Linked DNA regions of Xenopus tropicalis. The protein of the gene in region 1 binds, or shares a complex with, the protein of each later gene. Links are inferred from orthologs where the notes say so. Each region holds a gene or a part of one and is shown in the gene's direction. Other genes may lie near its edges.

The links.
Region 2: the proteins of nfkb1 (region 1) and uncharacterized protein LOC100170420 are in contact, whole or in part, in an NMR structure (PDB 1MDI), measured with the Homo sapiens proteins. The link is inferred for Xenopus tropicalis from reciprocal best matches to the Homo sapiens genes NFKB1 and TXN. Residues at the interface, in NP_001158884.1 of Homo sapiens: Arg56, Phe57, Arg58, Tyr59, Val60, Cys61, Glu62, Gly63, Pro64; in NP_003320.2 of Homo sapiens: Thr30, Trp31, Cys32, Pro34, Met37, Ile38, Asp58, Val59, Asp60, Asp61, Gln63, Ala66, Ser67, Val71, Lys72, Pro75, Ser90, Gly91, Ala92.
Region 3: the proteins of nfkb1 (region 1) and nfkbia are in contact, whole or in part, in a crystal structure (PDB 1NFI), measured with the Homo sapiens proteins. The link is inferred for Xenopus tropicalis from reciprocal best matches to the Homo sapiens genes NFKB1 and NFKBIA. Residues at the interface, in NP_001158884.1 of Homo sapiens: Lys251, Ile252, Val253, Arg254, Met255, Asp256, Arg257, Thr258, Ala259, Pro326, Lys345, Leu348, Tyr350, Ile353; in NP_065390.1 of Homo sapiens: Asn108, Asn109, Leu110, Gln111, Arg140, Tyr181, Pro214, Cys215, Asn216, Arg218, Tyr248, Gln249.

The regions. Positions count from the first base shown.
Region 1 is NC_030677.2:73,607,267-73,610,027, reverse strand, and holds the end of nfkb1 (nuclear factor NF-kappa-B p105 subunit), read left to right. Parts: intron 1-9; coding exon 10-163; intron 164-1,553; coding exon 1,554-1,735; 3' UTR 1,736-2,261; downstream 2,262-2,761.
Region 2 is NC_030677.2:116,011,451-116,015,555, forward strand, and holds the start of uncharacterized protein LOC100170420, read left to right. Parts: upstream 1-1,305; 5' UTR 1,306-1,343; coding exon 1,344-1,367; intron 1,368-4,105. UniProt on the Homo sapiens protein: Participates in various redox reactions through the reversible oxidation of its active center dithiol to a disulfide and catalyzes dithiol-disulfide exchange reactions.
Region 3 is NC_030684.2:109,511,895-109,515,853, reverse strand, and holds the start of nfkbia (NF-kappa-B inhibitor alpha), read left to right. Parts: upstream 1-1,159; 5' UTR 1,160-1,279; coding exon 1,280-1,515; intron 1,516-2,685; coding exon 2,686-2,794; intron 2,795-3,146; coding exon 3,147-3,354; intron 3,355-3,457; coding exon 3,458-3,546; intron 3,547-3,659; coding exon 3,660-3,920; intron 3,921-3,959. UniProt on the Homo sapiens protein: Inhibits the activity of dimeric NF-kappa-B/REL complexes by trapping REL (RELA/p65 and NFKB1/p50) dimers in the cytoplasm by masking their nuclear localization signals.

The DNA.
Region 1 (2,761 bases):
TTGTTGAAGGTTTCTGGTGGAACCATGACAGAACTCCTGGATGCCTTAAAACTGATGCATTACACTGAAGCTGTTGAGGCCATTGAGCAGTCACAAGCTATCCTTAAGCTGTCTGGGACTTCTACGCCATCTTCAGAGGCACTGCTTCCTGCACAGAGAAGAGGTGAATATATGTGATGTTCCATTGTGTGTATAACATTCTCACTTACCACAGTTTGTGTTACACACTGAGCAAGGTCATTCAGTTGGTAGCACATCTGCTTTGTAGCCATTGGGGCTTCAGTTCAATCTGGCCTCGGCACTATCTGCAAGGAATTTGTATGGTCCCTCTGCATCTATGTGGGTTTCCTCTAGGTACTCCAGTTTCCTATCACAATGTTCCATCTAGAATGTTTTTCTCAGTTGGAACACTCGCTGGAGAGTTCTAAACTGTCTCTGGAGTCAGTCTTTGCACAAGAGCTATTTACAGGGAGTTTAGGGATTTTTATGGGTGATTAGAGGAAAATAAACCTTACAACACCTTGTGCAATGCCAAATGTCAGCAGGGATGGTATAAAGGCCACCGCAATTGGACTCTGGATTAATAAATTAAATTTTATTATCTAGCAGTGTCATGGAAAAGTCAGGAGAACAGTTCCTGCCTGCATGCAAAATGGCAACGATAGAGAGGAATAATGGTTAGGGTCCCTAGTTCCCACTGAAAGCAAGTTGTAAGTGTTTTAGACCAATAATGTCCCCACGCACAAAATAAGGGTCACGCAGAAGAGGTTTTAGGTTTGCAAAGATGGGAGTTAAAGAACTTGTCTGATCTCAAACCAAATCAACACTCGTGAAAAGACTGAATGGGAACAAATCACCCAAATGATGTCCATAATCTGACGGAAAGTCTTACTAAAAGAGTAGCACAAACTATAAACAAGTTGCATTTCTAAGAGAAGCAGTACAGGTATGGGACCCCTTATCCGGAAACCCATTATCCAGAATGTTCCGAATTAGGGAAAGGTCACCTCCATTATAAGCAAATAATTATAATTTTTAAAAATGATTTTCTTTTTCTCTGTAATAATAAAACAGTACCTTGTACTTGATCCCAACTAAGCTATAATTAATCCTTATTGGGGGCAAAAAAGCCTATTGGGTTTATTCAATATATAAATTATTTTTAGCAGACTTAAGTAAAAGATCCCTTATCCGGAAAACCCCAGGTCCTGAGCATTCTGTACTGTGTTTATCAAATATTTAGTCAGTATCAAGCGATCACATAGAATAGAAATGAGAGAAAAAGACCAAACTGACTCCTAGTAATGGTAATAGAATATAGTTACTGCCATAGCATAATGAGAAGAGCTGATTAGTAGGTGTGTGATAAAAAGAAATAAATAATGGCGGTTTGGGAGGGAGACCCCTGCAGGGAACTGAAGTGGTAAAAAGGAGTACTGATCTCTTTTAAAGAGAGTTGCATCAACTTAATATTTTATAAATATGCGCATATAATTTTTATGCAGCTAATTCATTATAACTGATTTCTTCCTTTGAAATGACACTTTGTGCAGATTCCCCCATGTTCGATGTTGGTTACCTTAAGCTGCAGGACACTGATAGTACGTGCGACAGTGGCGTAGAGACATCCTTTCAGAAACTGAGCCTTTCATATTCGGAATCTCTGAAGGAGACAGAGACAGTTTGCCCAAAGTTTTCCCAGGAACCAGACTGTACTCTCATCTGCAACAAGTGATAGGCAAGTGTTGGACTCTGTCTTACATGCACAGCGAGGCTCAGCAGCTTGAACAAATACACTGGATATTCAAGAAAGCCTGGGCCTGGTACAATTTAAAACACTTCTTTGCTCATGCATATAGTAAGCTAGCGAAAAGAATATATATAATTATATATATGCAACTTTTAAGGACCTAAGCTTCTGGGTTCTGGGCATCACACTCTGTGTATTGCTTATCCCTAATTGAATTAGGATGTTGCATATTTACTTATTGAATCATGTTGGTTTAAAGTCTCTATGGATTCTGCATGAGTTCCTATTATACACCATCAGAAAACTACACGATTCAAAAAACAATTCAGAAATTAAACTTCCCAGTTAAGTTACTGTCATTTGCAAATGTTGGCAATATATTAAGAATGGCTAGCAATCATTTAATAATGTTTTATGCCTTGGTTTACTACAGTAAATATTATATATTTTTCTGAAATTTAATTTTTATTGTGTGTTTTATAATAAAATGATAAAGGAAAGATGTTTATCAAAAAAAGGAGAAAACTGTTTTGTATTTGTCCAGTCTTTGTTAGCCTGTTAATTATGTGAACACAGTAAGAAAATGAAAGTGTTCTGATTGGATGCTGGCTGTTAATGCAATAGGGCAATTTTGTTTTTATGTTTGTAAATTGGTTCTATGTGTAATTACCATGACCATATAAAAAAAAACACAAGGGTGAAGCCAAATGCTTTAATACAGGTCATGGAATTTTAAGGTGACTTCTAATATCCTCATATTTTAAAACAGGAAGTACAATATAATCAAGTCAAGTGACAGAAATTACATCACTAAGCAATAATTATAACTGATATAACATGGCACAATTTAAAAATATAAAAATGACTGGATATTGGGGGGGTGGGGTTAACAACAAATTTTTTCCACTATTTTTTGTGCTAAAACTCCAAATATTTGAATTCTGATTCAAAAACTTGAATATTAGATACTTAAAGGAGAACTAAACCCTAAAAATGAATATGGCTAGAAAT
Region 2 (4,105 bases), about 42 Mb from region 1:
GTCATGCGTTGCTGTAAGGTAGCAACCTTTTCACATGAACAGGTATAGGATCCCTTATCTGGAAATCTGTTCTCTGAATTACATTAAGCCTGTCCCCCATAGATTCCATTTTAATCAAATAATTCAGAATTGTGAAACTCATTTCCTTTTTCTCTGTAGTAATAAAACAGTATCTTGTGCTTGATCCCTACTAAGATATAAATAATCCTTACTGGATGCAAAACAACCCTATTGGGTTTAATTAATATTTTATTGATTTTTTAGACTTAAGGTATGGAGATCCAAGTTAAGGAAAGACCCCTTATCCGGAATACCCTGGGCCCTGAGCATTCTGGATAAGGGTTCCTATACCATTACTTGCTTGCTTTTATGTTTCTTGGCTATTAATAACATCAGCAAATATAAAAAATGCAACCCTATAACCTTTTATCTGCTCCTTTTAAACAGGGACAGTTATAAAAAGAAAGTGTATAGATACCCCCTATAAATATAGATACAGCTAATTTCTATTTAGGTTCCCAAGAAAATAAAAATATATGTACCCAAAAATTAGCCACTGGCAACAACATTTATACTACCGACATGAATGGACCCACACTGAACTCTGACTCTCCACATGACATTTTCTAGGAATAAATAACTCCTGTATTTCATTTTAACTCACGTTGCTATTACTTTTGACCTCAGTTAGTTAACTTCATACCATAGCTAAACCCGAATAATCTTATAGTACCAATTCATTTATTGCTTATAAAACACCGAGGCGAGCAGCAGCAGCCACGTTCTAAATCCGCCAACAAAAGCGGGCACTAAGCTACACAAGGCGCCTTGGGAACCAAGTCACGAGTAATTTTCTGCTATTAACCTCGCCCCTTCGCTAGGAACCGTTATACGCGCCTCCTCCCACTTGTCCCAGTTCACACGAGGCTGTTCTAGCCTTACTGAACTTGGCGCATTTCCTACAGTCCACTCCCTCTTCTCGGAATATCCTACCGCCATCTTCCCCTGACGCCATAATGCGGCCAGTGGTCCCTAGCCGCACCCATTGCCCAGACTCCCTTGTTGTGCGTAGTCCTCACGTGAAGGCGCTGATTTTGACCACGCCTTTACAACGCTGGCCTCTCTTTATTGGCTCGGATAGCTTAGTGACCCGCCCATTGCGCTCTAGACCGCGCCTTTTTTTACTTTGCTAGAATAGAAAGATATTGTTGTATACGCTATACACTAGCCCCGCCCATTCGCGGGCCCCTCCCCTCCCGGTAATTGCTAGACTTATCTCCTGAGGTTAGTGCTTTGCTGTGTCACGCTGAGTTTGAAGAAGTCGGCCGTCGCCACTGTCCAAAATGGTTCGACACGTTGAAAGTTTGGTAAGCAATTAATTGTATCATGAACGTTGTAAGTTGCTTGACTGAGAAAGATGCTTGGAAAGTACAGGCTTCTTATTTTCCTTTAGCATGAGGGGAAACGGGGACAGAGGAGCTAGTGCATCCTTATTCAGCATGGCTGGCAAATGCAAACAGCATGAGCAACACATTCCGTTTGAATTCTACTAACCCAAAAATAACATTCATTCAGATGTTCCTATTCGTTTATATTCGGATTATTAAAGTTGTGGTAGGTAGGGGAAGAGTGGCTGCTACAGCACTTAAAGGAACCCTCATCCTAAATTAATTACTGACCCAATGTAAAATAGCTAGGTAACTAGTAGTCTACGTATATTACCCATTTCAAAATGGTTTTTTTTGCACTTTGGGTGGCTAAATACAAAGAACATACTAACCAAAGCAAAAGTAGGTTCAAAGTTTGCTTTAGGGCTTCTGACCCTCCCCAAGCTATTAAATGTTTCCTTTCATTATTCAAACTGCAGTAGACCTATGCATGCTATCTGCTGACTGGTTGCTATGGGTATTCTACCTGGGGCAAACTTTGCACTATTGCAGCATTTTCTGTTAACTAGTTAAGGCTTTCCGACACACATTAATTTGACTTCTTTCTAAAAGACTAATATTAACACTGCTCCAGATCAGGGTCCTCAGAACAAGTGTTTTGAATGAGTACACCAGCGCTGACCTTCCTAACAAGAAATACAGCTTGGGTGATAATGCCAGTCAGTATGTAAGAGGTTAATCAGCTGACCCAGGACAGGATGAGATTGCATTTTGATGTTGATTCAAGCAGAATCAACATCAACACTGTTAGGCCAGTTTGTAATCCAATATCTAAATCTTCAAGGGTTCACTTTTAACCTGCATTTGGTTTAATTGCTACCGAGTAGCACACTATCTAGAAGAAGACTTAAAAATTGCATACTCCCATGCATTCTCAACATACCCTACTAAAAGAAATAAAAGAAAATGTTGTATAATTGAAACTGAGTAGGTTATGTTGCTCAAAATTCATCCTGTTTAATATTTTCTGGTTTAGGCCTCATGGAGATAAAAAGGGTACTTTCAGATGTGACTGGCTCAGGTTGGGTGAACTAGTTGGATTAGAATTTCACCTCTATTAAGATAAGAATGGATGCAAGAAAGAATGATTTTAAGAACACACTTCAGTTTTTCCATAGAATTTTCATAGATGTTAATTTGTTGGGATCATTTTCCACAGTTAAGTTGAACTGCTTGACAGATTTGCTTCTCAAATAATGCTAACATTCCTGAGCCTCATTCATGGTTATTGGAAACCAGAAGACTCGCTTAAAGCGCTTGTTCACCTTTGGGTTAACTTTTAGTATGATATAGAGAGTAATATTCTGAAACAATTTACGATTGGTCTTCTTCTATTTTTTTTTTGTAGTTTTTTTTAGATATTTCAGTTCAGGAGCTTTCCAGTTTGAATTTTCAGCAGTTATTTGGTTGCTAGGGTCCAAGTTACCTTAGCAACCAGGGAGTGGTGTGGATAAGTGACTGAAGTATGAATAGGAGAGGGCCTGAATAGAAAAGAAAGTTACAAAGAGTAACGATAAAACTGTCACCTCACAGAGCAATCGGGGTTTTTTTGGCTGCTGGGGTCAGTGACCCCCATTTGAAAACTGCAAAGAGCTGGAAGAAGGTTGCAAATAATAATAATAAAAAAAAAAAAAACTATAACAAATAAATAATGAAGACGATTGAAAATTTGCTTAGAATAGGTAATTCTATAACATACTAAAATTTAGCTTTAATGGGCAACTGTCTATTAAAGATGACATATAGTGAAAAAGTAATAAGTATTTGCCGTGGTATTATACACCAAAAATAGAAGAAAAACTCATTTAAAACTTTTGTGCACTGTTTTAATAAAAACTGATTTAAGAATTGTTTATGCTGCCAAGCCTTTCAGCATCTCTTGGGCACTTTCCCAGGCTGTTGAGCAATGGCAGCCCTTTGCCTTAAAGGATGCCAGCCAGCCTTTATCTTGCGCACCGCCACTGCAGTTTGATGTAGTTGTCAGAGAGCTGCCATGAAAGGGTGTGGTTTGCTAATAAATGGGAGGGGATTGGGTATCTAGTGGATATATTGGCATGGGCAGTTTTGACTTACTGGGCAGCTGTACAGTCATCGCTGATTTGTAACTGGGGAAGATTTATGGGAAGCTCCAGTAAAGGTACAAGTTTGATTGTAATTATTACACTACATAGGCTTCATATATTTATCATGGGTTTTGTGATGAGGGTGCTTTTGCCAGATGAGATAGCTATATATATATATATATATATATATATATAGCTATTTATTTTAAATAAATATTTGTGTAATTGTTTATTTCTCCCTAGCTTTCTCTTTGGGTACTGAGTGCTTTTGTACTTTTAGGGCACTCGTACAGGGTGATTCTCCATTAGAGAAACACTCCAAATTGGCATTTAAGCAAATCCATTTAAGTGAATTGCACTCTGTTCTTTTAAATGGATAATCACTCAGAAATACAGCAGTGAATATTTCTGAATGATCATCATCTGGTCCATGAGAGCACTGTGCAGAACCAGATGATTTCCATTCGGGTTACCAGAGGGGCAATTGGTAGCCCCTGCTTTGTGTCGGGTTTCCTGGACACATCCATTCATAAATTTACTAACATTGTTTGCATGTTTATTAAACAGTCAAAGTAATAATCACTTTCATTTATT
Region 3 (3,959 bases), on another chromosome or scaffold:
CCCATTGCTCCGTATGGGAGCAAAATTTTGAAATTTGCGTGCGGCGGGGCAGCATGCCGCCCCTATGTTTATGCCGCCCTAGGCCCGGGCCTGGGCACATCACTAGTGCAGAGCGCACAATAGTATAGTCAAAGTATTCCATGATGTTTTTGGTTTACTACTTTTATTCCCACACAAGAATTACGGACAGATAACCTTCGGCAAATGGCAATTAAGTTATTTCACCTAAGCAAGGTACCTGAAACTATTATCGTTATAAAAATAATAACTATTAAATTCATACAATCTCATTTCATCCCAACAATAATGCACAAAGGGGCTTATGTTTTTTTTAAAGCAAATGCAAACTGCAATTAGGATTGCCACCTGGAGGTTATTATACTGGCCTGACCAGTTAAAATACTGCAATATCCCAATGTTAACTGGGTAGAGAGATGAAAATTTAGGAAGACCTGTATTTCTTTCCAGTGGGAAAGCCTTACTACAATGCACAAAAGAGTGCAAAATTCCATGTTTCACCCACAATGCAACGTTATTCCCCAGAATCCCAGTGTAATCTTGCTGCTTATGACGCAATTTTTGCAGCCTTTTGGGGAACATTGCGCGAAAGTTGCATTGTTTGTAAACCCCTCGTTTCTGGAAGTTGCTGAAATAAAACAAAATGGCATTAGCATCAATCATTAGGTGCAAGTCGGTTGTGTGTGTGGGTTAAGGTGCAAAATGCAAATGGCTCCCCGGACGTTGAGCTCTTATGTATTTAGCATAATATCAATAGTCTGTCAGACGAAGGTATATTTAACGCATATAAATGCCGAGTATGATGTGGGGAACTAATGTGTATTTTTGCCCGAATCCCCCCAGTGTGTCCCAGGAATGGTGAGTGTGCTGAGAGGAATGTACATGGAGTAGCTGCGCACGTCTGAAAAAAGGGAATTTCTGAGCCTTGTACATATTTCTGCGCTCTTCCTTTTATTGTACCACAGAACTGGCTCCGTCAGGTTCATTGTGTTCCTATACTGACTTATTCTTGGAATTTCCCAGAGTACATAATAGTTCACAAGTAGGAAACTGAGCTCGGCTCCACCCAGAAAAAACCCCGGCTGTATATGTAAAAGTAGCCTGCTGGGGGAGGGAGCTGCCAGATCGCTACCAGAAGTCGCTCTGATCGGATGGGATTAGTATAGAGGAGGCTACAGCTACAGAACTTCACTATCGCAACTGGGATTCTACAGTGTCTTCTAAGCTATTTTGCGGGGAAGCTCAACAACCGGCCGCCGCCATGTCTGTGCCTTTTCACGATTACCAAGGGAATATGATGGAGGGAGAAGCTAGGGATCTCCGGAAGGACAAACTGCTGCAGGACGATCGCATTGATAGCGGCCTGGACTCCCTGAAGGAGGAGGAATACACGGCTATCATTACTGACCTCAGCAACATGAGAATGGAGGGCCCGCCGGACACATCGAACTATGAGCCGGAGCCATGGAAGAAAGAGGTCAACGAAGATGGAGACACGTAAGTGATAGAGAATGGGTTCGTTATATGGCTGGGGATTGTGCTCAGTATCTACTGATATTGTATAGGGGCGATGAACCTTAGTATTAGTACATCTAAAACCATTACATCTGCCTTGCACAGTGTATATACTGATAAAGGGATAGTACTCTATAGTGCTGCACTAATATATATATATATATAACAGGGACACCTAGGTTTGGGGCAGTGTTTAGTGTAGGATATGTAGATATTTACTAATGCATGACTTCTTTATGGTGAATGCACAGTTAGGTGCATGGGGCAGGCTACACTGCATAACACTGCAATTTATTGTGCAGCTTTTTCATGCAACCATAAACATGCAGTATTAGTAAGTTGTGCAAATAGTTAAAAACCCTTGTGCTTTTAATGCTTTTTTTATATCATGCATTGGTATTTGCAAGCATGCAGCAACGCCGGGCAGCTGTTAGATGGCTTGGTGCATGTTTGTTCTTGGTAGGGGAATTTTTTTGTTGGTGCAGAAGAGACGCCATATCTGTCTGGGTTTTCCCTTCTTCGTGTGAGCTGGAGGGAGGGGGGGTGGGAGGACACCTTGTTCTCTGACTTGCTGCCTCAGAGGGGTGGGGGCTGGCAGGCACCCAGGGGCAGGACTCTGGCTTTGGAAAGTCCCTGGCCAGTAGCCAGGAACACAACTGCACACACACACACTCTCACACTCACAGCAGAAAGCGGAAAACAACAGACAGATCTAGAGAAGAAAAAATCCCCAGACTTACACAATTGCATAGTTGGCTGGGGGAGGGGGAAGTACACACTTGTGTCACCACTGACTAGTATTGCAGCTCACCGACATGCCGCTATGATGAAATAGGTTCATTATGAATTATTATTTCCTATTGCTTGGCAGTTTCTAAATTTATGAAGTTTTATTCACCTCGATCTTTCCCACACACTGAACCTTAACACCACTTCACTTACTGGTTCCCAAAGGGGAGGGGGGGGTACATTTTCTACTTCTGAATGATGAAATAGTAAATACAGAAATGACATTTTGTAATAAGATGCTAAGATTGGAAAGCTAGTTTGTCATTTCCCATAAACCTGCTAGTTCATCTTTTCTTTTTTTATGGTTAAATGACACAAATTTGCTTCTCTATTTTAACATGTCCTTTTTATGTTCCCTTCTAGGTTTCTCCATTTGGCAATTATCCATGAAGAGAAAACCCTGGTGAAGGAGGCAATCCAACGTTCATACAGGGACCATTTTTACCTGAACAAGCAGAATAATCTGCACCAGGTAATTTACTTTTTATTTTTTTTCTAAACCTTGTAAAAACTTTATTTCTAGATTAGCTTGTCATGTGCCACCATTGTCGGTTAGGGCAGGGCTGTCCAACTGGAGGCCCGTGGGCCGGATGTGGCCCTCCAAAGGAATTTTAACATATAAAGTATAATAGAGGGCCAGTTTGTGGAATAATTGACCTATGACATGTAAGTTGGCCAGCACTTAAAATATTAATAGTCAGTGCACTCATAGCATGTTCATGAGGGATAGAATATAGTACAAGCTTATTCTGCAAGTTCAATTTTGTGTTTAATGAGAATGAATTTACTGATTTTTCTTTTTTTTTTTAATGTCTTTTCTGCAGACAGCACTACATCTGGCAGTAATCACCGAACAACAAGACATCAGCCAGTCACTTCTCCAGGCTGGTTGTGATCCAGAAATCCAAGACTTCTGTGGCAACACCGCCTTGCACATTGCCTGCAAGCAGGGCTCGCTTCGGGGAGTTGGGGTCATTTTCCAGTATTGTGAGAAACAACTGCCAGCACTTCTGCAATCTGTGAACTATGATGGTATGTATCAAACTTAATCTATAAACCTTTAGACGTGTGTTGTTGTGCTACTTGGCAAATTAGAATTAGAACTGCCTTGCTAATATCTTTCTTTCCGATGCAGGTCACACGTGCCTCCACCTGGCATCGATCCATGGCTATCTTGCAATTGTGGAAAATCTCATTAATAAGGGGGCTGATATAAATGCCCAGGTCAGTATTCCCCCTACTTCACTTGGCTACATACTGATGTTTCTTCCTGCCATGTCTATTGGATTCAATTTTGCCTCTAGATCTAAGAGAAATTTCTGTTTCCCTCACCACAGGAGCCTTGCAATGGTCGCACTGTGCTGCATATGGCCGTGGACCTGCAGAACTACGACCTGATGAAACTGCTGCTTAAGCACGGAGCAGATGTAAACAGAGTCACGTACCAAGGCTACTCTCCGTGCCAGCTCACATGGGGCAGAAATAACATGCTGATTCAACAACAGCTGGTTGAAGTGACACACAAGAATTTGCAGTACCTTCCAGAGAGTGAAGAGGAAGACAGTTCTGACTCCGAATATGAATATAATGATGATGAGGTGAGACCTAGAGACGAGTTCATCATAGTAATGGCATGG